Notamacropus eugenii: one gene and its partners. Each later gene encodes a partner of the first gene's protein in a complex. Links are inferred from orthologs where the notes say so. Each region holds a gene or a part of one and is shown on either strand. Other genes may lie near its edges.

Evidence for each region.
Region 2: POLR3G (region 1) and CRCP share a complex: the UniProt entries of both Homo sapiens proteins name them as parts of the RNA polymerase III complex. The link is inferred for Notamacropus eugenii from reciprocal best matches to the Homo sapiens genes POLR3G and CRCP.
Region 3: POLR3G (region 1) and POLR3E share a complex: the UniProt entries of both Homo sapiens proteins name them as parts of the RNA polymerase III complex. The link is inferred for Notamacropus eugenii from reciprocal best matches to the Homo sapiens genes POLR3G and POLR3E.
Region 4: POLR3G (region 1) and POLR3F share a complex: the UniProt entries of both Homo sapiens proteins name them as parts of the RNA polymerase III complex. The link is inferred for Notamacropus eugenii from reciprocal best matches to the Homo sapiens genes POLR3G and POLR3F.

Annotation. Positions count from the first base shown.
Region 1 is NC_092875.1:450,149,642-450,157,202, reverse strand, and holds the start of POLR3G (DNA-directed RNA polymerase III subunit RPC7), read left to right. Parts: upstream 1-4,547; 5' UTR 4,548-4,780; coding exon 4,781-4,863; exon of another isoform or gene 4,864-4,957; intron 4,958-7,561. Other genes in the region: acyl-coenzyme A thioesterase MBLAC2, read right to left, coding at 3,655-4,108. UniProt on the Homo sapiens protein: DNA-dependent RNA polymerase catalyzes the transcription of DNA into RNA using the four ribonucleoside triphosphates as substrates.
Region 2 is NC_092873.1:43,130,574-43,138,268, reverse strand, and holds the start of CRCP (DNA-directed RNA polymerase III subunit RPC9), read left to right. Parts: upstream 1-4,683; 5' UTR 4,684-4,835; coding exon 4,836-4,843; intron 4,844-7,002; exon of another isoform or gene 7,003-7,112; intron 7,113-7,695. UniProt on the Homo sapiens protein: DNA-dependent RNA polymerase catalyzes the transcription of DNA into RNA using the four ribonucleoside triphosphates as substrates.
Region 3 is NC_092874.1:396,629,034-396,636,905, reverse strand, and holds the start of POLR3E (DNA-directed RNA polymerase III subunit RPC5), read left to right. Parts: upstream 1-4,856; 5' UTR 4,857-4,939; intron 4,940-5,203; exon of another isoform or gene 5,204-5,342; intron 5,343-6,857; 5' UTR 6,858-6,937; exon of another isoform or gene 6,938-6,941; intron 6,942-7,872. UniProt on the Homo sapiens protein: DNA-dependent RNA polymerase catalyzes the transcription of DNA into RNA using the four ribonucleoside triphosphates as substrates.
Region 4 is NC_092872.1:593,328,035-593,335,846, reverse strand, and holds the start of POLR3F (DNA-directed RNA polymerase III subunit RPC6), read right to left. Parts: upstream 3,001-7,812; 5' UTR 2,902-3,000; coding exon 2,840-2,901; intron 1-2,839. UniProt on the Homo sapiens protein: DNA-dependent RNA polymerase catalyzes the transcription of DNA into RNA using the four ribonucleoside triphosphates as substrates.

The DNA of each region.
Region 1 (7,561 bases):
AGTCACACACAAAATATAGTACAGTAGCTTTTAAAAGTTACAGCTAAAAAGGAGACAGGTTTATTAAAAGAAGGCAGTGGGTATTAAGACAGTGCACATGAGACTTGAGATGGTTGCTATGGAAACAACTGGATTCAAATTTTATTTTTCACAATTCCATTAGTTAAATTATTAATCAAGAGAAGTAGGTAGTCAGAACTTCCATTCAAAGGAAGACAACGAAACAGGTAGAGTCTTAGTTTGAAAACTGATAATTAAGGAAAAACTATCCTTGAAAAGACTTTACCAAAAAAAAAAAAAATCATTTGAATGACAATGGTTTTCTACTCTTGCTTCCCCACCAGTCAAGAGTGGACACAATAAAGTAAAAAGGTACACAGCCAACTAAGGCTGTCATTTCCTGCTATTAGCTCTACCATTTTGTAGGCATGATCGAGAGAAGGTTCTAGAATCATACCCAGTGCTTCCACATATTGAGACCAGTTTAAGGATTAGCTCCCCATCTCACATACATTCATGGGTACAGGCTACTTGCATTTAGTAGTGACCAGAACTGGCACCATTTAAATTGTTATTTCCACCCCACCCCCCACTCCCCGCACCTCCCACCCCCACCCCCATTGTTGGTTTTTTTTTTGGCTAGTAGGTCTAGTGGAATTGTGGAGTTGAATTTGGGTAGGTTAAATGATCATTCCATCCCACTTCTATTAGTTTCCTATTCTCACAATCCAAGGTCTTCTTTGAGTCAACAAGAAAGGCAAAAATCTCTTCAGAAAATATCGTTTTTTATATTCTGAAAATAGTTTTCAATCATTGCTCTCTAGAATGATGAATTAGAATAATTAGAATTAGAATGATCTAAAGATCCATGTGGTAATTAATAATGACATGGACTGAGTTGATGATAGGAGAGATCGTCAAAAAAAATAGTTAACTTGGCATTAAGGATGCTCCATTTGATGTAAGTCATGGAGTATCTCTTTTATTTAAAAGTGCTTGCTGGACAAAGGGCCATAGGTCACTAAAACTACTGTCAAAGGGTCACCAAACTAGGGGTGCAAAGACGAAATCATTAGTTAATTCTGTGGATAAGGAACGAGTTCATGACCAAATTAGGGGGTCACAGGACAAAATTGATAATTTTAATTATATAAAATTAAAAAGGTTTTGCACAAATTAAACCAATGCAGCCAAACTTAGAAGAGAAGCAGATAAATGAGCAACTAAGTTTCTCTGATAGACTTCATTTCTAAGATATATAGGGAACTGACTTAAATTTATAAGAATAAGAGCTATTCCTCAATTGATAAATGGTCAAAGGATATTACTAGGCAGTTTTCAAAAGAAGAAAACCAAGCTATCAACAGTCATATGAAAAAAAATTCTCTATATTACTAATAATTAGAAAAATTCAAATTAAAGTAACTCTGGGATTCCATCTCATTCCCACGGTATTGATACAGTAGACAAATAAGTTAAATGACATGCTAGAGGGTTTTGGGGAAAATAGGTTATGAAATCCAGTCATATTCTAAAACAATTTGGAAATATGCCCTCCAAATTATTAAATTATCTATGACTTTCAGCTCAGCAAAACCACTAAAGGCTCTATACCCCTAAAGAGATTAGAGGGAGAAAAAATACTCATATGCACAAAAATATTTATATCAGCTCTTTCTGTGGCAACAAAGAATTGGAAACTGAAGGAGTTCCCATCAAGTGGGTGATGACTAACAAAATTATGGTAAATGTATATGATGAAATAATATAATGCTATAAGAAAAGGTAAAGGGCATGGTTTCAGAGAAACATGGAAAGACCTGCCTGAATTGATTCTGAGTGAATTGGGCAGAACCAGGAGAACAATTTATACAGTAACAGTGATATAGTGATAATTTTAAAAGACTGAGGAACTATGATTAATAGAAGGCCCAACTACAATTCCAGAGGACTCAGGATGAAACATGTGATAGACGTTTTGGGGGGGGGAGGGAACATGGCCAACTTGGGAATTTGTTTTACCTGACTGTACATGTTTGTAACAGGGTTTTATTTTTCTGGCTTCCTGAATCTGGGGGTGGGGGAAGGAGGCGGGGAGAGAATATGGATTTAAGAACAGTGCCAGAGGAGCAGCTAGGCACAGTGGACCAAACACCCACCCTGGAGTTTGAAGGACCTGAGTTCAAATGAGACCTCAAGCCACTTACTAGCTGCGTGACCCTGGGCTTTATCCTGATTCCCTCAAATCTGCCAAAAGCGTCTGGCCAAAGATTGGGGAATGGCCAAACAAATTGTGGCATATGAATGTAATGGAATATTACTCTGGTGTAGTGGTCTGAGATCTGGCTTTGGGGAGAGACTTCTGTTCAAATTTTGCCTTGACAAATGTGACTATGGGTCGGTGAGGAAGTCACTCAACCCTTCAATGTACCTAGCAAAACAAGTTACAAAAAAGAAGCAGAGCCAAATATGAGATGGAGGAAGTCACATACAAATGTAATCACAGGCCCAGATAGGAAAAATGAAAATCATAAGATTCTCATTAGTATAGACCTGCAAGCAAGGGTTTTGTAGATGTATTCCTCCTTGGCAGTCTGACAAAGCCTATGGCCCTTTTCTCAGAATGTTTTTAAAGGTATAAAATACATAAGATTACAAATTATATTGAATTATATTGAAATAAGGCTGTAATTTTTCTCCCATCTTAAGAATTTCTGACTGGAAGTCCCCTTAAATGGTATCTAGTGCTCCTAAAAAAACATTCAGGCTCAAGAGCTTTAATTTGTTCAAGGTCACACACTCAATGAAAGGTGGAATTTGAACCTAGGCTCTCTCATTTCGGTGCTGGTGATTTTTAGACAGTTATTCTTTCAACAGACATAAGGTAAATGGGGTCAGAACTGGATGTCATTTGGAGATAAGGAATAACCTGGGAAGACTTGGATTAACTGAGGCAGAATGAAGAACCAAGGAAACCTAGCCAACGACTACAAGAACGTGAATAAATAACACTAAAAAGCATCAGAATTCCGATTAAAAAAGCAATAACTTGTGTTGATCCTAGAAAGCAAATAAAAATATTTCCCTTTCGAGTAGCAATGGAAACTAAGGGTGGGGAATGCTGCAAACGGTGGCTATGTCTTTTGGTTCCAAGGTAGGGTCTGAAAGAGGAGGGAGGGAGATCTATGTCGTGAAGAGGCTGAGGAGAAAAGAATTTTTTTTTCCTTAAGTGACTGGAAATGTCAAACAGGTGCTCAGAATGGGAATGAGTGGGTGGAAATCTTTCAGGAAATTCAGTCTCACAGCCTGTGGCATTCCCACTGCACCAGGCTAGGGAAACTAATTAGGGGGCGGAGCGTCTTCCACTCCACTAGTAGTACATTGTATCTCTACTGTAGCAGAGCGCTTTCCCCTCCCCTCTGCAGGGCCCCGGGAACCCAAAGGGCCTCTCCAAGGAGCTTTTCTCCTTCCAAGGGAAGAAATGGAGACAGGTGTCATTTGGGTGACTTGGCAAAGGATCTCCCTCTCTTTCACACACACCCCCCCCCCCCCCGCCCTCCGTTTGGTTAAGCTCACCAGGGCTCTTCCAGGCCGCATGCACCCTCCCCCTCCCTTGGCGCCCCTCTCCCCACGGAGGGGCCAGCGCTCCATTACCCTCCTGCAGGATGTGGGTGGGCTGCACCGCTTGCACCCGAAACTGCCTGGCGTTCCAGCCGGGGCTCGGAGCCCGCACCACTTCGCTCTCCGACAGCCAGGTCGCAGTCTCAAAGTTGTCCCCGCGGGCCAGGGCGTCCGCCTCGGCCCGGTGCACCGCTACCTGGTCAAACTGGTAGAGCCCACCGGCGTGATCGAAGTGGACGTGGGTGGCCACGGCCAGCAGCGGCCGCCGCACCAAGTCCTCCCCTTTGTCCGGGTCCTGCAGGAGGCCGGCCGAGTACAGGTACTCGGGCAGGCTTCGAAGCCCCAGGCCGGTGTCGATCACCACGTCCTGCTCCGTGCCGCGCACCAGCCAGATGTTGGCGCGGTTGCCCGACTCGAAGAAGCGCTCCTGGATCCAGAAGATGCCGTCGCCTAGGGACTTGTGCGCGTACCATTCCAGGGCCGACATGCCGGGGCCGGGATGTGAGGCGGGAGAGTGCGGGAGTCGGGGGGCAGGGGCGCGAGCAGACACCAGTGCGGCGGGGCCTCTCCCTCTCTCCGGGCTGCGGACACAGCTGCAGCTCCCACAGGCGGTCGGCGCCGTCTGGAGAGGAGGAGGGCTCGGCGGGGGCTCAGGCCAGGGGGGCTGGGCGCGGGAGAGGCTGCGCTGCCCAGGGCCAAGAGGAGGGGCGGGCGAGGGGCGGGGGTGGGGAGGTGGGAAGGACGCGCCAGCAACCGCAGCCTGGACCGAGCCCCCCGCGAATGGGCGTCGCGGGGCAGCGCCTTCCAATGGCAGCGCGGAGCCCACTGCAGCAGGGAGGGCGAGCGCCCACAGCGGCACCTTCTCGCTCCACCCTCCTCACCCTGGGGTGGGTCCAACTGCAGCAACGGCAGGGAGGGGGGAGGCAGAGAGAGAGACGTCTGCAGAGCCACAGGTCCCGCGCGAACGCGTGTGAGCGCGCGTGCCCGAAGCTCGCGGGGGCCGAGCGCGCCTGCCAGGGCTCGCCAAGCCGGCCAGGAAAGGGTGGGGGCGAGGCTGCTCGGGCAGCAGGCAGGGCGCCTGCCCAGGGCTGAAAAAGCTTGCTGTGCAGGGGGCGGGCCTGGGGGCGGGGCCAAGAGGCCTCAGCCGGCTGGAATTTGAATGCTGCTCTGGAGGGGAAACAGAGAAGGGAGGGGTTCAGTTTGCTTGGAGGTGGAACCCTGCGACCGGGAGAGGCTGCACAGGTAACCCAGCACCCTTTGCCTGCCAGCCTTCGTGGGCACACTTGTGAGTTTGAGAACATAAGCAGCCCCAGCCAAGCCCGGCCAGGGAGGAGAGGTAGGCGATGGGGACCTTGAGGGGCAAGGGGAGTTGATGTGGAGCCTAAGGAAAGGGCTCTCGGTTAGGAGAAGTTAATTGAAACCTAGCCCCCGGCCAGAAAGAAGTTTGGACCCCTCTGCCTCTTTCTGTTCCCATTAAACCCCAAATGTTCTGTAATGATTCTTATCTGATTGTAACCTGGGTCCCCCTTGCTGGGCTGACTGCTATGAGATTAGAAAGTAATTTACTCATTACTGAGGACTTTGTGGGCCATTAACCGCGTTATATGGACATAACCTTCTGTAGGGAAGGGATTTCCCCTCCTAGGTATTACTGGTCACTGCAGCAGGCTTGCAGCAAAGGGTAGAACATTTAGTATCTCTTTACTTACCTGTCAGCACATTAAACCGTGGCATGAGGTGAGGAGGGCTGCCAAGCTCTAAAACAAAATAAGATCTATTTTTTACACTTTTTCATGGTTGGAATAAAAGCAAGGCAAGGGGGATGGGAACTGGAAGAGGCTGAGCAAAGTAAGAGAAGATAGCTGGCAAAAGATGAATTGGGGAAGACTGGAAAGGGTGGGTGTGGCCCAGTTAGCCTCCTAAAAGAACTTTCCCTTTAACCTGCTCTCCCTACCCTCCTCCCCACCTATTGGTTGACTACACCCACGGAGATTTAGAAAATTTCCCAGGATTGTGGCCTGAGGCTGACTTTGGCCAGAAAAGCTCTTCTATCCACACAGCATTCTTGGGCCCTCCCAGGATTGAGAGTTTCTTGAAGTCTGCAATATGCAGTCATAAAAGATAATTATACGAACTCTATTTTATGGAGACAAATACTAACATGCCTCTCTGTTTGAGGAAGAGTATACTATTATCAGGCTATAAACTGCTTAGGATGACTTTAGTCATGATGGAGGTGTGGACTGGAAATTTTGTATTTACCTTTCTGTTCATATTTTATACCCCTTTAGAAAGTCAAGACAGCAAGCATTTATTAAGCCCCTACTATATGCCTGCCATGTGCTAAGTGGCAAAAGAAAGGCAAAAAACCCAGTGCCTGCTCTCCAGTAGCTCACAGTTTGATGGAGAATACAAGAGAGGTCATCTGAAAGTTGTGAGATGGTGGCCTCGATTTTTTTCAGTGAATATTATAAGTTCTCAGCTGAGGTAGAGGGGATAGGAGATCATTAGAGACTTGAGGAGGGAAGAAAAGGTTTAGAATGGATTAGGGAGCAGGACATCCTCCCTTTCTTTTTTTGGCCTGCTTTATACATAATAGGTAACTAATACCAATCTATCAACAAACCTTTATTAAGCCCCAACTATGTACCAGACTTGTGCTAAGCACTGTGGATAGGAATTGAGGCAAAGAGTCTTTGCCCCCTAGGAGCTTACAGGCTAATTAGGGAGAGATAGCATGCAGATATATGAAAAGTAAGCATACAGTAGGAAATTGTTAAGAGGAAAGGCACTAGAAATAAGAGGGGTCAGGAAGGCTTCCAGTAGAAGAAAGAATTTTAGTTGGAACTTCAAATAAGCTAGAAAGGTCAGTAGTAGGAATTTTGGAAAGAGAGAGTCCCAGGTATTAGGGACAGCCAGAGAAAATGCTCCAAACCAAGAAATGGACTGTTTTGTTTACAGAACAGCCAGGATGCCAGTGCTATTGGATCAAAGAGTGTGTGTTGGGGAGTAAGATATACAAAGACTCGAAAGGTAGGAGGGTTTAGATTATGAAGGTCTTTGAATGCCAAAAAGGTATTTTTTATTTGATCCCAAAGGCAATAAGGAGTCACTGGGGTTTTTTTTTTTGAGTGGGGAGGTGATATGATTGGACTTGCACTTAAGGAAAATCACTAGCGTCTGAATGGAGTATGGATTGGAGAGAAGAGACATGAGGCAGGCAAACCCAGCAGGCTATTAAAATGGTCCAGATCTGAGGTGATGAGGGCCTGTACTTTGGTCGTGGCAGTGTCATTGATGAGAAGGGCTGCGTTCAGGAGATAGTGAAAAGGTGAAATTGATAGGCCTTGCTAACAGGATATATGAGTGAAAATAACACCTAGGATATGAGGGATGATGTTGACCTTAACAGTGATCCAGAAGGTGAGGGACCGGGAAGGGTTTAGGGAGAAAGTTAATGAGTTCAGTTTTGAACATGTTTAATTCAAGATATCAACTGGACATCCAATTCTAGATGTATGAAAGGCCTAGGGAGATTCAAGATTGGAGGTCAGCCAAGAGCTTGGGGCAGGATAGGTAGATTTGAGAGTTATTAGCATAGAGATAGTCATTAAAATCCTTGGAAGCTGATGAGATCACCAAGTGAGGCAGAATTGGAGAAGAGAAGAGGGCCCAGGACCAAACACTGAGGGGACACAAGTTGAAGGGCTGATCTGTAAGAAGATCCAGAGAAGGAAACAGAAGGAGTGGCCAGATGGGTAGGAGGAGAACTCCGAGGGAAGGATGTCCTACAAACCCAGGAAGAATTATCAAGGAGGGGAGAGTGATCTAATGTCAAAGGCTGAAGAGAAGTCAAAGAGAATGAGGAATGAAAAAAGGCCACTCGATTTGGCAACTAAGAAATCACTAGTAATCCTCGAAAGAACAATTTCAGTTCAAT
Region 2 (7,695 bases), on another chromosome or scaffold:
GTGGAGGAGGGGCTGGCGGCTTTACCTGCCCTTGCAGTGGGTCGCCTCTTGTCCCTGGGCGTCACCGGCGCCTCCCATATTTGTGTGGCCATCAGGAGAGCCTGGACGGTGATGCAATCTGCCTGCCCGCTTCGGGGTGTGACTTCGCCATCTGGGAACTTCCCAGGCTGACTTGGAAAATGTCTCCTGGGTCCTTGTCCTCCTTCCGCCTTTCTCCCACCTTCTCCATTTAGATGGAGCTGGACCCAAACCACCCTCCCCTCTCAGACCCCAGATCTGGAGCTGCGAGGGACCTCAGGGGTCCACCCCCTCATTTTACAGATGGGGAAACTGAGGCATAGAGCGCTTACGGGGCTTTCTCAAAGTCTTAAAGGAGGACCAGGAATTTGAGCCCAGGGCCTCTGGCTCAAAATCCAGGGTTCTTTTCCCTACCCCACGTTGCTCTCCCATGCTGTACTCTTTGCTCAGCTTCAGACATGGCCCTAGGTTCGGAGGCTACCCGACATTGTTTTCTATAAGATTTCTGGAAGTTGCTATGGGCCAGGATCACATGCAAAACCAGCTACAATGTAGCCACTGAGAATACCAGATCCATTCATCTGTCTGACCTGGCCTTCGGCTTCGTCCTCTCTTGTGCCTGAACCACTGACCTCAGAGCCAGCCTGGTACACTTCAACCGTAAGCAGAGAGGGCAGGGATCATGTCTTTGACCTCCCTGTGCGCACACGAGGGTGACAGGTTCGATGAAACGCCCTTAGGTGATTACACCATCTATGAGATGTCACTGGAAGTAAGTCAGTCCTGGGGACTTGTTTTTTTCTGAGTTGTCATGGACCTGACTCAGCTGGATACCACGTTACAATAAGCCTCCTAATTGGCCTGCCTTTTCTCTCCAATTTGTCCTTTGCATCCAAGCCAAATTGATGTCCTTGATATGACCACGAGGCTCAACAAGTCCCAGTGGCTCCCTCTTGTTTCTAGGAAAAAAATCCAAATCTCAAAATTTAGCATTCAAGGTCCTTTCAAGGTCCCTTCAAGGTCCCAATGCCCAAGACCCCAATCTACTCCCGACGGATTTTTCCAGACTGATGTCACTTTACTCCTCCACCACACACTCTAATCTGTAGCCAGACCATACTGTTTCCTTCTATACTTGGCCTTCCATCATATTTTTGGATAGAGGATCTCCTCAGTCTGGAAAAACTCCCTTCTCAACTCCTGTCTTCCAGGAATCCCAAGCTCTCTTCCAGAGCCCACAAGTCACTTCCTAAAGGAAGCTTTTTTCATTTCCCCTCTACCAACTGTTTTATATTTATTCACCTGGGTTCCAGTTTTTATTCCAGTAGAAGATAAACTCCCTGAAGGCAGGTAAAGTTTTGTTTTTCTGTCTTGTCAGCCCTCCTTTATGATGATCAAGTGAGATAATATTTGTAATGAGCTCTGCAAACCTCAAAGTGCTATTTAATGATAGCTATTAATAATTTAAAGGGAAGGAAAGAAGTATTTACATAGTGCCCTTTTAGGTGCCAAATATTGTGCTAAAACTGTTCAGGGTCATGCCATGATTATCCCTATTTTATTTTTTTTCAAGTATTACATATTTAGTATTTTATTTTTCCCCATCACATTTAAAAACAATTTTCAACATTTGTTTTTAAAATTTTGAGTTCCAAATTCTCTCCCTCCCTCCCCAACACCCTCACTGAGAAGGCAAGCAATTTTATTGTCCCCATTTTATAGTTGAAGAAACTGAGGCAAACAGAGGTTAAATGACTTGCCCAGAGTTACAAAGACAGAAAGCATCAGAGGCTGCATTTGAACTTAGGTCTTGATGCTGGACCCAGTGCTCTATCCATGGTGCCACCAACTGTCCCTGTCATTATTATTATTCACAAACACCCTGGATTTGGGCCAGGAAACCTGGGTTTAATTCTTGACTTTGACACTTTAGCTTTGTGACATTGAGCAAGATGGTTAGCCTTCCCAAGCCTCAGTTTCCCCATCTGTAAAAATGGAATAACATCCTACTGAGTGGGATAGGTTTAGTGAAGACTTCTCAGATTGTAATTCTTCTTCCAGGGGTGAGGTAAGGCCTAAAGGCTCAAGGTTACAATATTTTTAGAATAGAATAGTTCCATATAAGGATATAAAACTGTGTAGTGTATTAGGGTCTCAATGATTGGACAAAACTCACATAATTCCTCAATGTCTTCATTTCAAAAAGGATTGGTTAGATTTCGTGTCTAGAATGTAAGATCATATTCTCAGCTAATGAGGATAATGGTCAGTGGGGGGAGGAGGGACTTGTGTTAGGGTCTATATAAATCACTGCCCTTTTCTTTGTCTTTGTCTTTCCTACTCCTACAGGTTAGCCCCGCTTCTCGAGAATCGAATAAATCTCTTTTCTGTCATCACTTTGAGAGGCCTCTGAGTAACTGATTTATGTAGGGACCTGAACCATCCCACACACTACCTTATGGGGTTATTGTGAGGATCAGATGAGATTGTGTTTGTAAAATGTTTTCCATACTTTGAATCTGAATATAAATGCCAGCTATTATTAAAAACCTACTTTTTTTTGTCTAGTCATTTCAGTCTTGTCTCTGTGACCCTATTTGGGGTTTTCTTGGCAAAGATACTGGAGTAGTTTGCCACTTCTTTCTTCAGCTTGAGATGAGGAAACTGAGGCAAAAAGGGTGAAGTGATCTAAGTCACACAGCTAGTAAGTATCTGAGAGCATATTTGAAGTGAATCAGGGTCTGGCCAGTGGTTAAGTGCCTTGTCCAGATTCTAATCCTGACAGTATAAAAGACTCCAGTTCTATCTATCTTTCCACTAGGTCTTGTGTGTTGATGACCCTGAGCCATTAATAAAAAGACTCATCATGTTCAGGATCTGTTTTACGATTCGGTAAAATGAAGATAATAACAGCGCTTGCTCCTCCCCTGTCAAGTGAAATAATGTATGTAAAGTGTAGATATGTGTATATGTAGTAATCTAAGTTACCCTTAAACACTAAATATTAGCAATTACTATTCTCCCCCAAAGTCTGCTTAAGTAGGCAGGAAGAAGTTGCTGTGGCATAACAGATGGAGTGCTGAGGTTAGAAAAGGAAAGACATGCGTTCGAATGATGCCTTATCTGCTGGATCAATATGGTGGAAAAGCCTGATAATTTGAAGTGAGGAATTGGGTTGGACCCGACCACTGCCACCCTTCCCACTCTAAATCTATGGGTCTAAGCTGGGTGACCCTGGGTAAGTCATCTGATTTCTCTGTGCCTCAACCAGCTCCCTCAGATTTGGCATTTAAATCATTTCTGAATGGTTTCTGTCCACTGATTGAGTAATAGATTTTTCATGTAAGAAGGCAAACAAGTGTGCAGAAGACTGTTCCTCTAATAGAATTTTTGTGCTTATGGGAGTAAACCCAGAATTATTGGGGAAAGACAAAGATAAACAGAGGCAAGGTCTTCCATTCAGCCAACGAACCCTTGGTTAGATGACAGCGACTCGAAGTTTGGATAAGATATGGTCCCTGCATTCAATGAGTTTACAATCTAGCAGGGAGAAAAGAAATGTGCACTGACTAGCTAAGTGTTCTTTGGACTTGCAAAAACTCCAAGAAAGTTTGAAACGGACAGAGGATTGAGGCAGACTTGGGTCATATTCCTTTGCTTGGTTGCTTTAATGGGAAGACTTTCTGACCCAAAACACAGGAAGACAGAGTTCAAAATGCAAGTCTATGAACCCATCTCACCTCTCTGAAGGCAATGTTTTCTTTTCTTTCCTGTCCATATTTCTTTCTACCTTCTAATTAATCAATCAAATCATTAAGTGTAGGGATAGTTTTCCTTCTTTGTCTTTGTATCTCTGGCCTGGAAGAAAACTAGGTGCTTAATAAATACTGGATTGGTCAACAAACATTAAGTACCTACTATCCTCCATCCCCACCCCCCACTAGTGCAAAGTATTGGAGTGGGAGGCTCAGTCCACCAATGACTTATTAAGTGCCCGGTAAGCTCTTTGAGGGCTGGGACTGATTTTTGCCTCTTCTCGCTCAGAGCAGATATAAATAGCAATTGTTTCTGTTTTGGCCAGAAACTCTGAGGGCCTTCCCCTTCCAGATGGATTTTTTTTTTGGACTAGCTAAAAGAGGTCATTCTTTGCTCATTTCTTACCTAGCCTTCATCACTGAAGTGCCTCAGACATGCTCTGACATAAGCTTAAAAAGGTCCAGGTCTCTCACTGCATCCTGGGCCATCTCCCGTCCTCCTGATCAGTATCTGACCACTGGACCCAGATGGCTCTGGAGGAGAAAGTGAGTCCCTGCCTCACTGAAATCCAATTCACTTGCATGTCATGGTATCACCTTCTTGATTTCACCTTTAAGAATGAAGGACAACCCCAGTTCCTGCACAGCACCTGGCCCAGGGCAGAGCTTCCTAAATGGTGACTGATTGATATAAACTATCGCTTACTGACTGATCCTGAGTGCCAGACTCCACGGGCATCTGGGGCCAGCAGCAATCTCGGCCTGATTCAGCCCAAACCAGGGGAGTGGCTTAGGCTAGGGGGTCGAGGGCGTTCTCCTGCTACCTCCGCCCATCCCTGCGGCCACAGCGAGGGGGCTGGGCGCTGCTGCTCCGGGCTCGTAGCTAAGGGAGGGCACGGCGTGCTGCCGGGGGCGGCCCCGGCGTGCGTGCGCGCGCGCGGAGGCTGGGCGGCCCCGTGACGTGCACCGGGTGCCCTGCCCCCGGCCGGCGCCGCGGCCTGCAGCTCAGCGTGGACCCGGGATCTCGGAGCCGTGGGAGAGCGCGGAGGAGGAGGGGCCACGATGGAAGTGTGAGTGGGCGGCCCCACGCGTGGGAGGCCCGGGCTGGGGGAGGAGGGCGGAGTGTGCCCGCATGGCTGTGCGGGCGTGTCGGTGCCCACGTGCACTTGTGCGTGCCCGTGCGTGGGCATTCCTGGGCTGGCACGCGCGTGCATTTGTCCGCGCTCCTTAAACCCCTCCTGTGTGCCCCAGGGGCTGGGGAGAGGCGTCCTGGGAGGCTCTCGTGCTGTTCTCAGAGGCAGGGGGTTTAATTCCGAAATGAGCCAGAATCTGCCTTGTTCCTCCCTCTCCTTTGTAATAGCCCAAGAGCTGGTGTGGCCCCTGCAGCCCGCGTGGGTCCGTGGGCGTTCTGTGGTCAGGGAGGAGGGCGTGGGGGGCGCGTCCGTGGGCCTTGCTGCCTCGGAGCTGCAAGTGGGCTGGGGTTATCGTGAAGACGGGGCTGCTGGCTCTGCCCCTTCCACTGGGTATCAGTTACTGCCAATCCCAGTTTTCTGGGGAACCCCAGCTTCATTTCTCCTTCCACCCCCTTGGCATCCGCACTATATGACTGACTGGTCCAGCCGTTCAGCCCTGCGGGCTCCGGCTCTTTGCCACCCCAGAATTAGCCTTTTGGTGTTTTGGACCTTCTCCCTCCCTCTTTGACCTCTTTGGGTAGAGCTGGTAGTAATTTCTTTGGGTTAAGGGGTACGCACAGTTTGGGGGTAACTCCACATGCTTTCCAGAAAGGCTGGACAGTTCTCCATTGTACCCATAGTGTATTCATGTACCTCTTATTTCTTGTTTCCCTGTTTTGGATGTTTGCCAATCGGATGCGTGTGAGGTTGTTACATTTGTTACTGTGTCTGATTCTTCCGGTGACCCCATGGACCATGTTGACGGTATAGACCCTGGCATGGTTTGCCCTTTCCTTCTCCAGTGAATTAAATGGAACTGAAGTTGTTTTAATTTGCATTTTTCCAATTATTGGTGATTTAGAGTCTCTTCCCCCCCTTATGGCTTGGATTTCTTCTGAAAACTTCCAGTTCATTTCCTTTTATTTTGGTTTATCAATTCAGGAATCAATGATCAATTCTTATAACTTTGAATCATTTCTCTATATAACTTAGAAGTGAGGCCTTTATCAGAGAAACTAACTGCAAATATTTTTCTTCCCCATTTACCTGCTTCACTTCTAGTTTTAGCTGCATTGGTTTTGTTTGTGCAAAGACTTTAAGATTACCTGTAACATAGGTTGCCCATCTTACCTTCTGTGACTCTTAATGTAAGAGTACCCTGTGTATATGTATAGTAGGTGAGAACAAGGAATAACCAGCACTATATGTGGGGGTACAGTGGAAAACAGCATTTGGAATCAGGACATGGGGCTGAGTTCTCTGCTTCATCACTTATCTCTGTTATCTTAAAATAGATTACTTAATTTTGTTGTTTTATTGAATTGACTTCACCTCTAAGTTTCCTTTGACCTCCAAATCTGTGATCCTAGTATATACACATGTCCACATACACACACACACACACACACACACACACACACACGACAATTGGGGGTTAAGTGACTTGCCCAGGGTCACACAGCTAGTGTCTGAGGCTGGATTTGAACTCAGGTCCTCATAACTTCAGGGCTGATGTGCTATTCATTGCACTCTGTGTGTGTGTGTGTGTGTAGAGGTATTATATATATGTATGTATATATTTAAATATTTTATTTTTTCCAATTATGTAAATAATTTTTAACATTTAAAACAAATTTTAGTTCCAAATTCTCTCCCTACTTACCCTTCCTTTTCCCTGAGAAGGCAAGCAATTTGATAGAGACTTTGCACTTGTGCAAAACATTTCCATATTAGCCAGGTTGCAAAAGAAAACACAGATCAAAAAACCCCGAGAAAAAATGTAAAAAGTCTGCTTTGGTCTCATTCAGACTCCGTCAGTTCTTTCTCGAGCCAGACGGCCTTTTTCATCATAAGTCCTTTGGAAATGTCTTGGGTCATTTGGGTCATTGCTGAGAGTATATGTGTAATGCTAAGTCATTCACAGTTGATCCTTGTACGATATTGCTGTTAATGTAGACACTGTGGAATGTATATTTTAAAATGTATATTTAAAAAATTTAATATTAAAAATAACAAAAATATACTTTTTTTCCCCTCCCATCATTCTCTTCCATCAGGAAAAAAAAAAGAAAAAATGAAAACAAAACCCACGTAACAAATCAGCAGTCATTCAAAACAATCCCCACATTGTCCATCTGCAGCCTGCTTCCATCCTCTTTGTCAGGAGGTGGGTAGTGTTTTTCAACGTCTGGAATCCTGGGCTATTGTTGTTTTGAGCAGAATTCTTACGTCTTTCAAAGTTGTTTAGCAGTGAGGGGTGAGGAAGAGTGAGGAGTCACCAAGGTGATGGAGGGGCCTTTGACAGGAATGCAGAGTGTAGGAGAGGGGAAGATTTGGGAGGAAAGATGATGAGTTCAGTTTTGTTCTTGTGGAGTTGGAGGTGCCCTCAAGACATTGAGGTCCATGAGACAGAAGGAGGCCTCAGGCTGAGTGTTGGGTGTCAGTTACAGGAGAAAGAGGGGGTGACAAGGCTTGGGTACCTTTGGGATCGAGTGCCCACAAATCCATCTCTGTGGATGGAAACATGATCTGATGGGTTGTGACTTTTTTTCCCTTTTCCGGGAATATTCCTTAAATGGATCAATTATTGTCTCATTTAGCAAGAAAGAGAAAGTGATACTCATCTAGCTGTTTCTTAGAATTGGAGTTTCTAGCTTCTCACTGTTCTCTAGGGTGAGTGTCATTGGTGGAAGGACCCCTTTGGTAGAGTGAGTTGAGTCTTGGTTTGAATCATGCCTCAAATGCTTACC
Region 3 (7,872 bases), on another chromosome or scaffold:
TGCCTCATTAGCAATTAACAAAGATGTGAGCCTTTCTACAAAACAAGCCTCCCCTAATCTGAGGCCCATTAATTGTCAGGGAAAATCTTTAAATTACATGCCCTCTGCCTCCTGATTTAGACTGAAGATGCAGCTCAAATCCCACCATCAGCAGGAAGCCTTTCTCAGTCCTCCTCCAACACTATCCCAGGGCCTTCCAACTGTTCTTGACTCCATTTGGGGAATCACTTAAACAGGGTCACACAGGTAGTAAGTATCTGAATATGATATGAACTCAGGTCTTCCTGACTGCAGGCCAGAAATTCTTTCCACTGAGCAACTACCTTCATGATTAAGGGAATGGACCTCTGTTCTGCTTTTCTTTATTTGTGTAGTGCTTAGCACATTGTAAGAACTCAATAAGTACTTGTTGACTGACTCTCCCCATGCTTTTTTTTGTAAAGGAAACTCAGAATACTGCTTAGAATCAGGTAAAATAATTACAGCTAATGACCAATATTGGGTCCAGGGCACAAATGAAGGAACATAGCCCTCCCTTAAATAACTCTCAGGTAGGGGAGTACAGGAGCAGCGAACAAGGCTGGTTGTCTGTTGTTTTTTTAAACTGTTTTTCTTGGTGACAAAGGATGGTTCCTTGAAGGAGGATATTGTGGGAAATATGTTTTTTAAAAGACTCAAATAAAATTTTATGTTAAAAACAGGCAAATGAGGGACTAATTATTTTCTTGATATGGCAATACTAATAACTAACATCTGAATAGTGTATTAAGATTGTTGTTGCTAGCGAACAACAGAGATTGTATGATACACATATCTTTGCATTTCACAGTCCTAGGTCACTGCATTCAACAGTTGCACACTAGAAAGTGTTCAATAAATATATGTTGATCTTAAAAGGCATCTTTACTGTAAAACTCATCTAGGAGAGTAGTTCACTGCTTGTTTTTGCAATAATCACTTGAAGGAGGCTGTAGGATAGGAGGAGAGTAGAGGAAAAAGCAGGGAAACTGAAAGCTAAAGTGTTGGGTTTAATCAGAAGTGAAGTCAAAGAATTCCATTTGATTTACATGACTTCTTTTTTTTTTAAGGAATTTTCCTCTCTCATGTAAATTGAGACATGATGGTAAGAGCTAAATGGCAGAGTGGATTGAGCTTTGGGCCTGAAGAGGTAAAATTCAGCCTCAGACACTTACTAGCTGTAGGACCCTGGACAAGTCATTTAACCTTTGTTTCCCTCTATTTTCTCAACTTTATTTTTCTTATTTCTTTTTTCAAGATTATTTTATTTATTTCCTCAACTTTAAAATGGAGTTAATAATACCACTTATCTCCTAAGGTTGTTGGGAGGATCAAATGAGATAATATTTGCAAATCATTTAGCACAGGGCCTGACCATGTAGTAGATACTTAATAAATTCCCCTTTCTTTCCTTCCGTGTCTTGCTTGACCTGAATAACAAAATTGCCCTGGCTGGGTTTTCCCTTATTATGTCTGGGCTTCGACCATCACAAGGTCATTTCTTGCCTGCATGGTGACAATGATGTCTCATTATAGTGACTTGTGCAACTATATATTTCATGCTAATTTCAAAACAGGTAAGTCAAGTCCTTGCTCTCAGACACTCCTTAGCAGCTCAGAAGTAGCCTAAGAAGCTAGAATAGAGTGTGATTAGATCCAGAGAAGAATGGGATAGGGATAGTTTCTGGTGTCATTCCCACAACTCAAAATCAAAAAGATGTGTGCCATTACATCCTCTTGTTAAGTGTTTAACAATCTGCTCTCTAAAAAAATATACATAGAACATACTCAAGTTTAATTTTCAGTATTAACACTTTCTCTATCATTTTCTTAAGTCCAGATAATCAATAAAGCAATAGGTCAAGATCTAAAATATATAGCATTTGCTGATTTCTGAGGCATAAATTCTCACACTGAAAATTTAATCAAACTTAAATAGTTCAAACACTAGCTCCAGCACACCCCTGCAATGACCCCTATCTCCTCTGTTCTCCTTGCCTCTATCACCAGATTCTCCCCTAGATATTTTTCTTTAATAACTCCAGTTTAGCAAAGACAGGGATTCTTACTTTAGTCTACTGAGCACAGGGAACTCTGCTTGGATTCTACTCAAGCTTTAGCCCTAACTCATCCTATGGAGTGGAGTCACCCTCCTATATTCTCTGGCTTCTGCTTCATTTTTGACTTGAGGACATTTCAGCTTGACAGTTTCAAACAGGTCTGTGAAATTAGGGTAATGAAGTAGGTCAACTAGAGCTTAATCAGCTCTCTGGGAAGCTCTGAGTGGCTGGTTTCAGCCTGTCTAAACTCGAAATATGGGGATCATCTGTATATATGTACTTTTCATTTGTCAAGAATTTGCTGGCTTATAAATTTCTTGAAAGCAGGAATTGTTTCCTTTTTGTCCTTGTATACCCAGCACCTAGTACAGTGACTGGAACTTAATATAAACTTATTGGATTGAATTGGAATTGAATATATGTGTGTATGTATATGTATATGTATACATACATACACACATGAATATGAACTATCCTCTCATAATATTTTGGTATACTCAAGCATTTATCAAGGTACCAACCAGGATGTAATACCTCTTCACAATAATTATCTCATTTTATGGGGAAATGGGGGAAATTTATTGGCCCCAAATGTCCACCTGGTACCTTCTTTGTTTGCTTTGTTAAATCCCCTTTAGTACTATGGAATTTGTTTTAGATGGCAAGTTTTGAGTTCAGTTATAATTGTTCTGGAGTCCCCAGTTAGGAAAATCCCTAACACTTGGGCAGAGTTATACTCTCTGCCTCACATTTACTCTATTACATTTAAGTCTATCTTTCGTTAATCCCTGATTTCTTTGCAGGTGAGGCAAAATTCAGTTTACTGGAAAAATATGGGTAATGAAACATCATATAATATTATAGTGACTGTGGCTTCAACAAGGGAAGTTGGGACAGAGATGTCCTTTTCTCTGGATTTCCCTCAGCCTGGGCCCTCCTCCTCTCTGTGATGCCTGTTGAACCAATAACTCTCCTCTTTATTTTCTTTTTTTCTGGTACAGATTATTTCTTCCTTTCCCCTATTTGCTCCAAATCTATTTCTCTTTTTCAGACAGATGTTCTTCAAACAAGCTATTTCATCTCCCTAATGCCAAAACTTTCACTGGCTGTCTCCCATGCCTGGGATATTCCTTCTCCTCCTGGCTTGCCTAACTTTCTTTAAATTTCAGGTAAAAGTCAAGAAGTCTCATATCCCTCAATGCTAATGCCTCCCTTCTGAGATTACCTTCAAGTCATATATATGTATGTGTGTGTGTGTGTGTGTGTGTGTGTGTGTGTGTGTGTGTGTGTGTGTGTGTGTGTGTATAGATAGATAGATGATCGATAGATAGATGATAGATAGATCTGCATTTCTTTATAGGCTTACACAACATCTCACAATTAAGTGTTCAATCAATGCTTGTTGTCTTGACTTCTTCCTTTCATACAAATTTCTTAAGGAAGTCTCTAACACAATGGCTTTGATTGATTCAAAGAGGTACACAGGCCCTGTTCACACCCTGTTCTGATGGAGGATCCCAACAGAAAGTATTTTCATCTAATCAAGGAACCAGAGCCAAACGGCACAGTGTCTACCTTACCTAAGGGCATCCCTTTCCAAATCAAATGAGAAGTTCACAGAGCCACTCACAGACCTTCATATTCCTCTTTTCTTACGGCAATAATATTCCATTACATTCATGTGCCACATTTGCAAAAACAAATTTCCAAACGGTGGTCCCTGCGTCCAATTCTTCCCTGCTGCAGAGTGCCGCTTGACCATTTGGATACATGCAAGCTTCCCTTCCTGGGCCGGCGGGGCTGTCAGGGCGCCGAGGTGTGGCCACTCTGGTCAATTTCAGCATCATTCCAAACCGCCCTCCAGCACGGCTGGGCCGCCGCGCAGCTCCTCTGACAGCGCGCTCTGTCCCTGGCTTTTCCCGGCCTCTTGAACATCAACCATTTCTGCCTTCCGTCATCTTCGCTAGAAGTGGAACTTCAGTTATTCTAACTTAGATTTTTCTAAAGGTCACATGGCCTTTACTTTTTACTGTTCTCCTTTTGGGAATGCTAGGAAGAGCTGTCTGATTTGGGATGGGGTAAGCTAAAAACAGCACACATGAGTGCGGTCATGCGAATGGAAAACACTGTGAAAGGGCCCTGAAGACCTGCCCCAGAAGGGCTCCCCCTTCCCAGCCTCGGAAGGGGACAAGCACCCACGCGCGGGGTGGCGGAGCCGGCTGGTTATTTCCTAATGTTTGTCTCTCTGGGTAAAGGGGAGGGGAGGAAAAGAGAGATAATATGAGATTTAAAACAAGACATTCATAAGAAATGGGAGGCACTTTTTAAAAAGATGTATATTTTTTATTTATAAAGAGAGAACAACAAGTCAGTCTTTACCGGACAGCTCGATTCCACGCGAGATCCAGGACACACCAGGCTTGGAGTTTGGCCCGAAGGACGCGAAAAGAAGCCGCTTTTGTCCTCCGGGGACTAACGGTCTGGGAGGGAGGCGCAAGAGAGGAGACGGAGGGCTAAAATCCGGAAGCTGGAGGAGGATGAATTCTACTTCCGGGAAGCTCTGACTCTTAGAGCGTCCAAAAAACAAAACAAAAAAAAAAAAACAAAACAACTCACTGTCATAGATTGACTAGAGCTCAAGAAGCCGCCTTCTGTATCTAGGTAGCGTGGCCGAGCGGTCTAAGGCGCTGGATTAAGGCTCCAGTCTCTTCGGGGGCGTGGGTTCGAATCCCACCGCTGCCAGAAAGTGGCTTTTTTTGGTTCTCCCCATTCCCCCGCGCTCCAGCGCCACCTGCGGCCTGCGAGCAGAAGTTATCGGTGGTAGGAAGGCGAGGAAGGGCCGCTCCTCTCCAGGCACCGAGGTAGGGGTGGTGCAGAAAAGGTGGCGGAAGGGAGAGAAGGCGAGGAAAGGGGGAGGTGCCTCGGCGCCACCTGCTGGTCCGGAGAGGAAGTGCGGCCCGGAGAGTGGGGAGAGCTCCGCTCTGCTCCGCTCCGGGGCGGGGCATTGTGGGTAAGAGGAAGAGCCGGGGGAGGACCCAACTCCCCCCACGTGTCTGCTGGAGTTTTACCAGCAATATGGCTGCTGCCTGAGAGAGCTGGGCCCGCCGCCGCCGCCGCCGCCGCCGCCGCCGCCCCTGCAGCTCGCGGAGATAGCTGCCGCTTCTGCCTCCTGCTTCCTCCCGCCGCTCCTCCTCCTCCTCCCGCTCCTCCCCCGTCCCTGCCGCTCCCCCTGCAGCCGCCCCCTCCCCGACGTCCTCGGGCCCGGTGAGTGAGAGCTTTTCTGTCGTGGGGGCCGGGGGACGTCCTCGGGGAGCGGCGCTGGAGCCGGAGGAGGCGTCGCGGCCGTGCTCGGGGGCTAGGCCCGGCCCGGCCCGGAGCGGGCTCCTGCGGCTGCCCAGGTCCAGGCGTCCCGGAGGGCGGGCCTGAGAGGGGGGCCGCGACCGGGGTGACTGTGCAGGGCTGTGGGGAGGCGCCCGGGGTGGCTCCCTTGCCGCTCCCACGGTCGGGGGTGGGGTCTCCCGGGGGTTGGCCATCCTCTGACCCAACACCCCGGGGCGCTCTTGCTCCAGGAGGTGCGGAGGCCGGCGGATGGGGGTGGGAGGGCAGGAGTGGGGGGGCTCCCACTGGGCTGGACCCCCATCCTCGAGATGGGGGGCTTGGAACTGGGGAGGCCGAGTTTGCCCATTGACCCAGCAGGCAGTGGGTAACTCCAGGTGACCCAGCGGTGCCACCCTCTCCTGGAGACACCTGCCTTTGAGAGGTTAGGTCTCCACGGCCGGTGACAGCTGTGGGGGGCTGACTTGGGGAAGAAATAAGTGAGTCAGAGTGGGGACGGGGCACTTCCCGCGGTCCTGGGGCAGAGGTGGTGTTGGCAGCACCTTAGAAAGAGAGCCCAGCAGATGGTGGCATGGACAGGTGGAGAGCACGCCCCTCGGGGTAGCCTTCCCTGAGAGCTGCCCTTCTGCCATCTTACCATCCTTCCACCCAAGGATCACCTTAGAATCCTGGACCTCCGGGAGAGGCCTTGGCACTCTCTGGTCCAATGACCTCTTCTTATTGAGAAGCCAACCTGTTCAAAGTCATGCCGCCAGTTTGTGGCAGCTCTGCCCTTTTGCCATCGTTAAACCCTAGAGGTTGTGCGATCGATGCCCCCCTTGGTTCAGGCTGGTTCTTTAGGATTTCCTCCTTTCTGGCTCCCCTCCCCAAAGTACATGTACACATCCCCTCTTAATCCTGGAGAATTGTTCTTTGGTCCAGTCTCCGGGTTTGAGATTACTGACCATGTTAGTTCCCGGAGCCCATTTCAGTTTTCATGATTTCTTAAAAATATTTGCATCATTTTCAAATGTGGAGTAATAGCAGAAATTCCCCATTCTTCACCTTTCCTAGGGTTAGAGGTCAAGCCGTCTAACACTAGCAAAGTATTCAGGTTTGTAAATGGCTGAGAGTCAGAGGAGACCAGGGCAAGATAGTTTGACCTCAACTCTGGATCTCTGGCTTTTATGAGAATGGCAGGGAACAGGTCTACTTCCTTTCTGGAGATCTCAGCATCCCTGAGCTTGCTCCAGCTTTGGTGTCATGCTGTAAATTCTCCATTCCTGGTAACTTAGAATTGGCTGATTTCATTGTCTGACTAGTCTAGACCTAAAGCAGATCGCTAGAGAGCCAGACGAGAAGGGCAGTGGCCCTGGCTATGAATTTCTATGAGTTGCCGCGGACAGGATGTTTGTTTTTTTTTTTTATTTTTTGTGTTATTCTTCATGCCTCTTTTTCTTTCAGTTGGTACTGACATTTGAGAGGAGAACCTGGCTGCTGGTGTACGGCTCCCAGGGCAAACCCACATCTGCCCGTCTGGGCAGGTAGGTATGTGCTCTCCAGGCCTTCTGTCTCTTCAAGATCCCCTTGGAGACAGAGGGTTCATGAGGCTGGGAAGAGGCTGTTTTCTGTTGTTGTTGTTTTGTTTTTGTTTTTTTGAATAAAGGGAAAAGATTTTTAAAAAAACTTAAGCTTTCCTGGCTAGGATGGGTGGAAAAGTGGTTACTAAGGTGGTACATTGAGTTGACTATTCAGGAGAAAGGTAGAAACATCCAAATATAAACCCCAGAAAGAGAGAATAGCAGAAGGGTAGCTGAATACTGAATCTCCATTATACCTTCTTTCCTTTTGAGCACTTTATCCCCTGTAGAAGTGTGTGTACCATACAGCTGGGCACTTGGTTTTATTTCTTCTTGTATTCTCTAGTTCATTCATTCCTAAGTGCCAACGGTGAAGACACTGAGGGAGATACTAAGAATAAAAAAAAACCAAGGATACAGTGTAAATGTGAAGAGAAAAGATACAAAGTGTTAATGACTGTATAGTCTGGCAGGGAGGACCCTGATAATTGAGAGGATCTGGAAAGGCTACATTTGGAACTTGGTTCTTGGGTAGCATTACAAAGGAAGAGAGGGATTCTATGAGTTTACACTCCTTTTTATAGATGATGAGGAGGACTATATGTAGATTTGTTTCTCTGAGCTATGATTTTTTTTTCTCTTTGGGTGTTCGCTCCACTTCAGCAAATCTGTAACCCCTGAGTTGATATGGCCAAAAAGTTCATCATCATGTGGTCATCCTGGTGATGCACCTTCTTTAAATGACAGCAACCAACCCTCATATTTCTGATGCTTTTTTCTGTCACAGCCATTTCCAGATATACTTTCTAGCCTTCCGCTCAGTGAGCCTTCTCTTATAACATTAAAAAAAGGTTAAATAAAACTTACACAGGAAACATGTCTGATGGCGTTCCCTATAT
Region 4 (7,812 bases), on another chromosome or scaffold:
ACTGGTTTAGGCAATGAGAAAATAAAAAATCAAAGTTTTTACTCTCAAAGAAGGAACTTAAATTCTATTTCATCACCTATTGCCCACTGGAACTTTCAAACTGTATATACAATAAGCATTTCAATACTTCCCAAATTCAACTCTCTATTTAACTTTCCTGTTTTTGATACGGGCACAATCATACATCCAGTCACTCAAATTCATAAACTGAGAATCATCCTCCGTCACTCTCTCTCTTCTTACATATAAAATCAATTACTTTCTCATTCTCCCTCATCCCACAGCTACTATATCCAATCAAGTCTTGTCAATTCTTTCACTAAAACATCTTTTATATCTGTCCCCTTCTATACACCCAAACCATAGTTCAGGCTCTGATCATCTCTTGCCTGGACTACTGAAACAATTAATCTAGCCTCTGATGTTTACCAGCTATGTGATCCTGGGCAAATTACTTAAACTCTCCCTGTCTCAGTTTCCTCATTTATAAAATGGAGATATGAATAGCTGTGAGGATCAAAGCCGTAAAGCACTATATAAATGCTAACCATTGTTGTAATTTCCTTTTGTCTCGGATTTCTCCCTCTTTTCAGTTCTCTACACAGCTAAAACACAAATCTGACCACATCCCTCCCCTGCTCAAGAAGCTTTAGTGGCTCTCTACAATCTATGGAATAAAATACAAACTCCTTTGTTTGACATTTAAAGGCCTTCACAGCCTGGTCCCAACATACCTTTTCATAAATATTACCCTTTATTCCTTTCTACCACAGTATCATCTTAACTCCTCACTTTTTCTCGGTCCTCATAGCCACTGAGTTGTTAAATCCTGTTAATCTAACTTTTAAAATATCTCTTAGGTGTCCTTCTCTCCTGACACTTCCAAAATCCTCTTGCAGGCCCTCATCACCTCATCCATAGATTATGAAAATAGCTACTGGTAGGCCTTAACAAGTATCTCCCCACTCCAGTTTATCCTCCGTTCAGCTATCAAACTATATTCCTGAAGTGCAAGTCTGACCATGTTACTTCCCTACTTAATAAACTCCAGTGGTTCCTAAATACCTCCAGGATCAAATATAAAATCCTCTGTTTGGGTTCAAAGTCCTTTATAACCTTCCCCTGACACACACACCTTTCCAGTCTTCTTCCCCTGTACATTCTTCTCACAATATATACTCTACAACCCAGTGATAGTGATCTTCTTGCTTTTCCTCACACATCCTCACACAAATTCTAACTCCAGTCATTTTCACTGGCTGTCCTCGATGCCTGGAAGGCTCTTCTTCCTATTTCTGCCTCCCTGCTTCCCTTTCACTTTCTTCAAGAAGCTTTCTTGATCCTCATTAATCTTAGTGCCATCCCTCTGAGATTATCTCCATTTTACCCTGCATATATTTTGTTTGCATAATGTTTCAGACTACAAGTTTCTTGAGAGAAGACGGGTTTTTTTGCCTTTCTTTGTATCTCCTAGAACAGTGCCTGACACATAGTAGCCACTTAATGATGCTTGCTGATTTGACCTTCTTAATAAAATCTCCTTCCTCCAAACTGTTTAGTGAATGAACAAAAAAAGCACTTATTAGGCATTTCCTATGTATTATGTGCTTCACTGAGTACTGAGAATACAAAGATCAAAGAGAAATAATTCAAATCCTCAAAGAACATCCATTCTAATAGGAAGAAACAAAGCATATATGAGAGTGGAGGTTAGGTAAGAACAGTTTGGCCCAGAAGTACAAGAGTAGTGAGGGTATTAACTGGACTCTTAAAATGAGATTGTCTTTCCAAAAGCAATTAAAGTATTGATCTGATTGCTGTTCCTAGAGTAAGAGGTAGGAAGAGTGCACGATGGAAAGCAAAGGGCAGCAGCATGAATGGAAGATTAATAGGGAGAAAGTACGGTCAGGGGCATGGGGTCAACTAAATACGATGAGCTTTCACCAGTCAGGGCATTAAGGACCAAAGGTAATAGTTCCAAGTGTCTTTCCTCTCCATATATGTATTTTGTATGTGCTTATATACGTATACGTTGTTTCCCTCCATAGAAGCATAGTTGAAACTGTTTCACTTCTGTCCTTGTATCCCCAGCTCTTAGGTGGGGAATTGACAGGTATGTTTACTGACAGAATAATTAATAAAACGTTATGAATGTCCTTAGGTTACAGTAAAGACCTTTACCTAAGCCCTGTGACGCTTATCTTTTTAAATATATTGATAATCACACAGCAACATAATTATAATTTTGTAATAACTATATAACTTTGTAATCCTATGTTATTTTGTTTTATCCGTTTAAAAAAATAACATTTTAAGAAGAGATTCACAGGTTTGACAGAAAAAAAATTTAAGAATCCCTGGGTAGAGCCTGAGGTCTTAGGTTCCATTCTGCATTCCTTAACTCTGATACTTCCTCACACTAGACCACAGACATAGTCCAATTATCACCACTAGTAGAATGATTTTCAAAGCACGTTTTTACGTCATTTCATGAATGAATGAAAAAGCCTTGAAGCACTTACTATGCGCCCAGCACTGTCACCTCAGTCTACACGTGTAGCTTTAGTTAACTATCTAGACTGTAACAAAAACAAGCTAAGTGATTTAGAGTTCGTTTGCAAACTTCCCGAAATCAATTCGAATTGACCCAGACACAAAGACTGGTAAAGGTTAGGAGGGGCCGAAGCCCTCGGGACAGTCTCTCTCACCCCTCCCCAGGACCTTTCACTCCCCAAGACCCCACGCGAATCCCAAGGAGGAGGGCCCGGGAGGAGGCGGGGGGCTGGTGGAGAGGAGAACGCAAACTATAGATCATTCATTCCCAGCGTCTCCTTTTTACCTGTTTTCTATTTCCACTGGGTCTGCATCAGGCGGCTGTGCCTTCACTTTTACCTCAGCCATGATTCAGCCGGGGGTGAGAAAGCAGGAGCTAGCTCGAACCTCCAGCAGCCTCCCCCGGGCCTCCGCCCCCACCTGGGCAGAAAGGGGCCTTTTTCTCTGAGTCGCATCTCAGCCAAGGACCCTCTTTGAGCTGTCTAAGTCACGCCGGTCCCGTTTGACAATTGGGTGCTGCGTGGTTCGTGCACAGAGTTAACTATTTAAAGTATTTCTCCACACATTCAACGGACTCATTGCTTTCCTTGTCCCCTTAGGCTCTCCTCTTCAATATTTCCCTTCCATAGATCAGGCGAATATTGAAACGCCTAAGACGCTTCTTGAGTTAGAGGTAGGAAGAGAACTAGCAGGATTCTCTGAACGGCTTGGAAGGGGCGGAGCCAGTTGCTAGGAAGCTAGATTTGAACCAATCAAAATAGTCTCCTCGGTTTTGGCTGGTGCTGAAGCGTCTCTGGTAACTGGAGTCCTCAGGACCCGCCAGGTGAGGAGCGGCCGGAAACTGGGGTCAGTCTAGGCGGGCACAGGACACCCCAGGGGAGGACAGCAGGATGGCAACACCCGGGAAGCATCTGGTCTGAATGAATGGGGGGACCCCCTTACCTGGTGGGAACACCTGCGTTTGGGCATGACCTTGGGCATGACCACGACCGAGTTTGGCCCGCCGGCTTCGGGTGTCTGACCCCTATCCTTCCCGCGGCTCCCCGGACTTTCTCTGCGTCCCTGGGGCACATCCCCGAGCACCTGCGCGGACGGCCCCGGGATGCCTGCTGCTGCCAAGCTGGCGTGGGAGAGAGGAGGGCCCGCTGCTGGGGCCTCCGCAGCCGTGTAGAGCCGCCTGCCCGAGGCCCGTCCTGCGTGTGCTTCGGCGGGCGCTTTTAGACCTTTTGGGGGTTCCCCTCGCTCTCGAGGATTTCCCTGCAAAGTCACTGCTGCTGCAGAAAGCTTATGCACGTGTGTAATTGTGGGGAACAGTTTCCACCCCGTCTCCCCCCCCACAGTAGACATATATAAATATATATATTGTGGGGAGCAATTTTCCCCCTAAATCGTTGCTAATGCAGGAAGCTTTGTATATGTGTGTATAAATGTATGTGTGTGGATGTGTGTGTATACATATGTATATATATATATATATATATATATACACACCTCTGTACACATAGATGTGTGTTTGTGTATATAATTATGGGGAACAATTTCCCCACGAAATCACAGCTAATACAGCAAGCTTGTGTGTGTGTGTGTGTGTGTGTGTTTGTCCTTCTTTGCTGAAGAAGACCATGCCGTCAGAGAAATAATGACATGACTTGCACGTGACTTTGACACACATAACAGATGTATATATTTATATATGCACACATATAACTTGTGTATATGTATATACACACACATAGCAAGTGTATTTTGTTGTTGTTCAGGTGTTCAGTTATGTCGGACTTTACTGTGACTCCCATGTACTTTGTGGTATTTTCTTGGCAAAAATACTGGAGTGGTTTGCCATAGGGAACTGAGGTAAACAGGGGTTGAGTGGCTTGCTCAGGGTCGCCCAGCTTGTCTGAGTGTCTGAGGCCGGATTTAAGCTCAGGTCTTTCTGACTCCTGCTCCAGTGCTTCATTGCACTACTAATACTTGTACCCTGACTGTTAAATATGGTATCTGCCTGAAGGGACAATGGAGGAGGCAAAGGCATAGCCAACAACACTAAAATATCTTTGTGGAGTTTTGGAGCCCAGATGTAAAGGCTTCATTTTTGGGAAAACCAGACTTGTTCATCATCCACCATTATGAGCTAGAGTGTTCGTTGCAGGTTAGTGTGTGGTGAGTGGTGTGTTTGTATAATATATGTGTGTGTGTGTGTTTTATTGTTGTTCAATCATTTTCAGTTGTGTATGACTTCATGACCCCATTTGGGGTTTTCTTGGCAAAAATACTGGAGTGATTTGCCATTTCTTTCTCTGGCTCATTTTACAGATGAGGAAATTGAGGCTGACAGGGTTAAGTGACTTGCCCCCAGGGTCCTCTAGCTAGTAATTGTCTGAGGCCAGATTTGAACTCAGGAAGAAGAGTCTTTCTGACTGCAGGTCTGGCACTCTATATACTGCACCGTCTAGCTGCCCTCTGTATATGTATATATGTGTATACATACATAAATACATACGTATGCACACACATATATCACAGCTACTGCATATGTATAGATATATACGTATATAGTGTATATACGTATATATATGTGTATATAGAGAGAGTGTCTATATATGTGTGTATCATAGATAAGTATATACATATAGCTAGTGTATCTGAATAAATACATTTCATAGCAAAGTGTATATCCACATATATCATGGCAAGTGTATATGCTTATATATGTATATACATATCATAATGAGGTTAATTGAATGATATTTTACACCCAACCTGATAAAGAGGCAAAGAAGGTGCAAACACTGTGAGTTTCTTCCAAGGTGCTTCTAGAACAAGGGTTCTTAACCTAGAATCTAAAAACCCCTCCAAGGCACCCTCTAAGGATCCACAAATGGATTTCCTGGAGCCTGTGAATTTGGGTGGGAAAATAAATTACATCTTTATTTTTACCAACCTCTAACGGAAATGTATTGTGTACTTCAATTGTGAATGTAGACAACAATAATATTCTGAGAAGGGGTCCACAAGCTTCACTAGACAGCCAAAGGGATCCATGACACACAAAAAGTTAAGAACCTTTGTATTAGAAGGAAGAAAATATCTTGCTCCAAGTTTGTAGTTTTAATCTGAAGTGAGATATAATTCAGTCCTCGAAGGAAAAGGACATGTGTTGGAATATTTTCCACATTAGACCACATTTTGAATCATACAACTGACCAAGAGGTCTCTGTTTTTTGGTTAGTCATTACAGAAAAGGATTTGGTGAAGAGACTGAAATGTATACTTAAATGTGTATTCAATGCCTCCAATATTGTCTTCCACAAATATGTTAAGATCATACTAGATTTCTTTAATGTTTTTTTTATATCATAGGGAGGATGAGATTTGTGATTTCATTGGTATAAGGAACTTCTGGTGAAGACTATCCCTCTACCAGTGCATAGGATTCCTTTTTAGATTTAATACAATTAACCCAATATTTTGTTGCCCACCAGACCTAACAATAGGGAACAGAAACTATGGGCTGGTGAACTGTCAGGTAGAGTTGAGGAGAGAGGAACTAAGAAGATTGAGAACTTGTGTGGTGCATTAAGGTTTGCAAAGTGCAAAGTGTTATCTCATTTGATCTTCATAACAATCCTGTAAAGTAGGTACTATTATTATCTCCATTTAATGGATGATGAAACTGAAACTGAAAGATTTTAAGTGACTTTCCCAGAGTCACATAGCTAATCAAAGTCTGGAGTAGGACTCAAGCTCAGGTTTATCCACTGGACCGCCTAGCTGCCTCAGAAGGAACAGATCAATACTGTACAATAAAATACAATCAGTGCGTATAATACTAGCACTTTTAACACTGGCTCAGGCAGTGGAAAATGCTTTCTCACTTTTCCAGATAGATATCTTTGATCTACCACTGCTTTCCCATTCTATCTCATATATGTCAATTTTAAATGAATCTTATATGTATAAAAATATTAGAGGAAGAAATCCATCCATCTCTTAACCTCAAACCATACCCTGAAATCTATTTCTGTTGGCATAGTACTAATCAGACAACATGTATTTATTGCACCAGGCTCTGTGCTAGGCCTAGGGATATAGGCATAGATTAACACAAAAAGAAGAAAACAACCCCTCCCCTTAAGGAGCCCTTCTATTGAAAGAGTCAGCATGTATACATATCAATATAATAATAATAGCTAGCGTTTACGTTTAGTTTTAAAGTTTGTAAAGTGATTTACAAATTTTAACTCATTTGATCCTCACAACAAATTTTATCCCCATTTTATAGCCCAAGAAGTTTAAAAATGTAGAAATTAAATGATTTGACCAGGGTCATATAGCTAGTAAGCATCTAAGACGAGATATGAATTTAGGTTTATCCTGACTCCAGGTCTGGGGCTACAATGTATACAAAATAGTTGGTGGGGAAGAGGTGTTAGCACCTAGAAGAGTTAGAAAATGCTTCTTCTAGGAGGTTGTACTTGAACTGAGCTTTAAAAGAAGCTAGGGATTCTAAAGAGATAGAAGTGACATTCCAGACGTGGAGGGGAGGGGCATGTCTGTGCAAAGGTGTAAAAGAAGGAGATAAAATTTTGCATGCAGAGAATACCAAATAGACCTTTTGGGCTAGACTGTGTAATGAGATGGGAAAGGTAGAGTGAGATAGTGATTAATTCTCTAAGGTTAACTTGTATATGATCACAAAAAATCCAGGAAGAAGCTTATACTTTTAGTTAATTACAAAATAGCTCTTTAGAAAGTGGCCCTATTTAGCTAAAGAGATTTAGACATTATTTACATTTATCCTCAATACCTTATGGTGGAGGTGAGCGCTCTGGTTTGTCCCCCATTACTTATTTAGGAGAAAAGATTATGCTGTAGCCATTCCTAAATGTTCTCTTCAACTGCTGAAAGGCAGGAAGGGTAAGATCAAGATGGCACTGGTAGAAAGGAGACAGAAAGAGCTTCCTTCAAGGAGTTAGTCCTTCTAGGAAGCTCTGAAGAGTGTGATACAGATTTTTTGGTTGTCTGGATTGTTGGACTGGCAGAAACCTCGTGTGTGTGTGTGTGTGTGTGTGTGTGTGTGTGTGTGTGTGTGTGTGTGTAAGCCATATTTGTAGAAAATACAGGCTCAGAGATGTATTGGCTATAATGTGATAATTAACAAGTCATTTAACTTCTCAGTACCTCAAACAATTCTCTAATATTACAAATTTCAGATTGGTTGGATCTACATGGTGGAGGGAGTTTCATCATCAGGAGTTC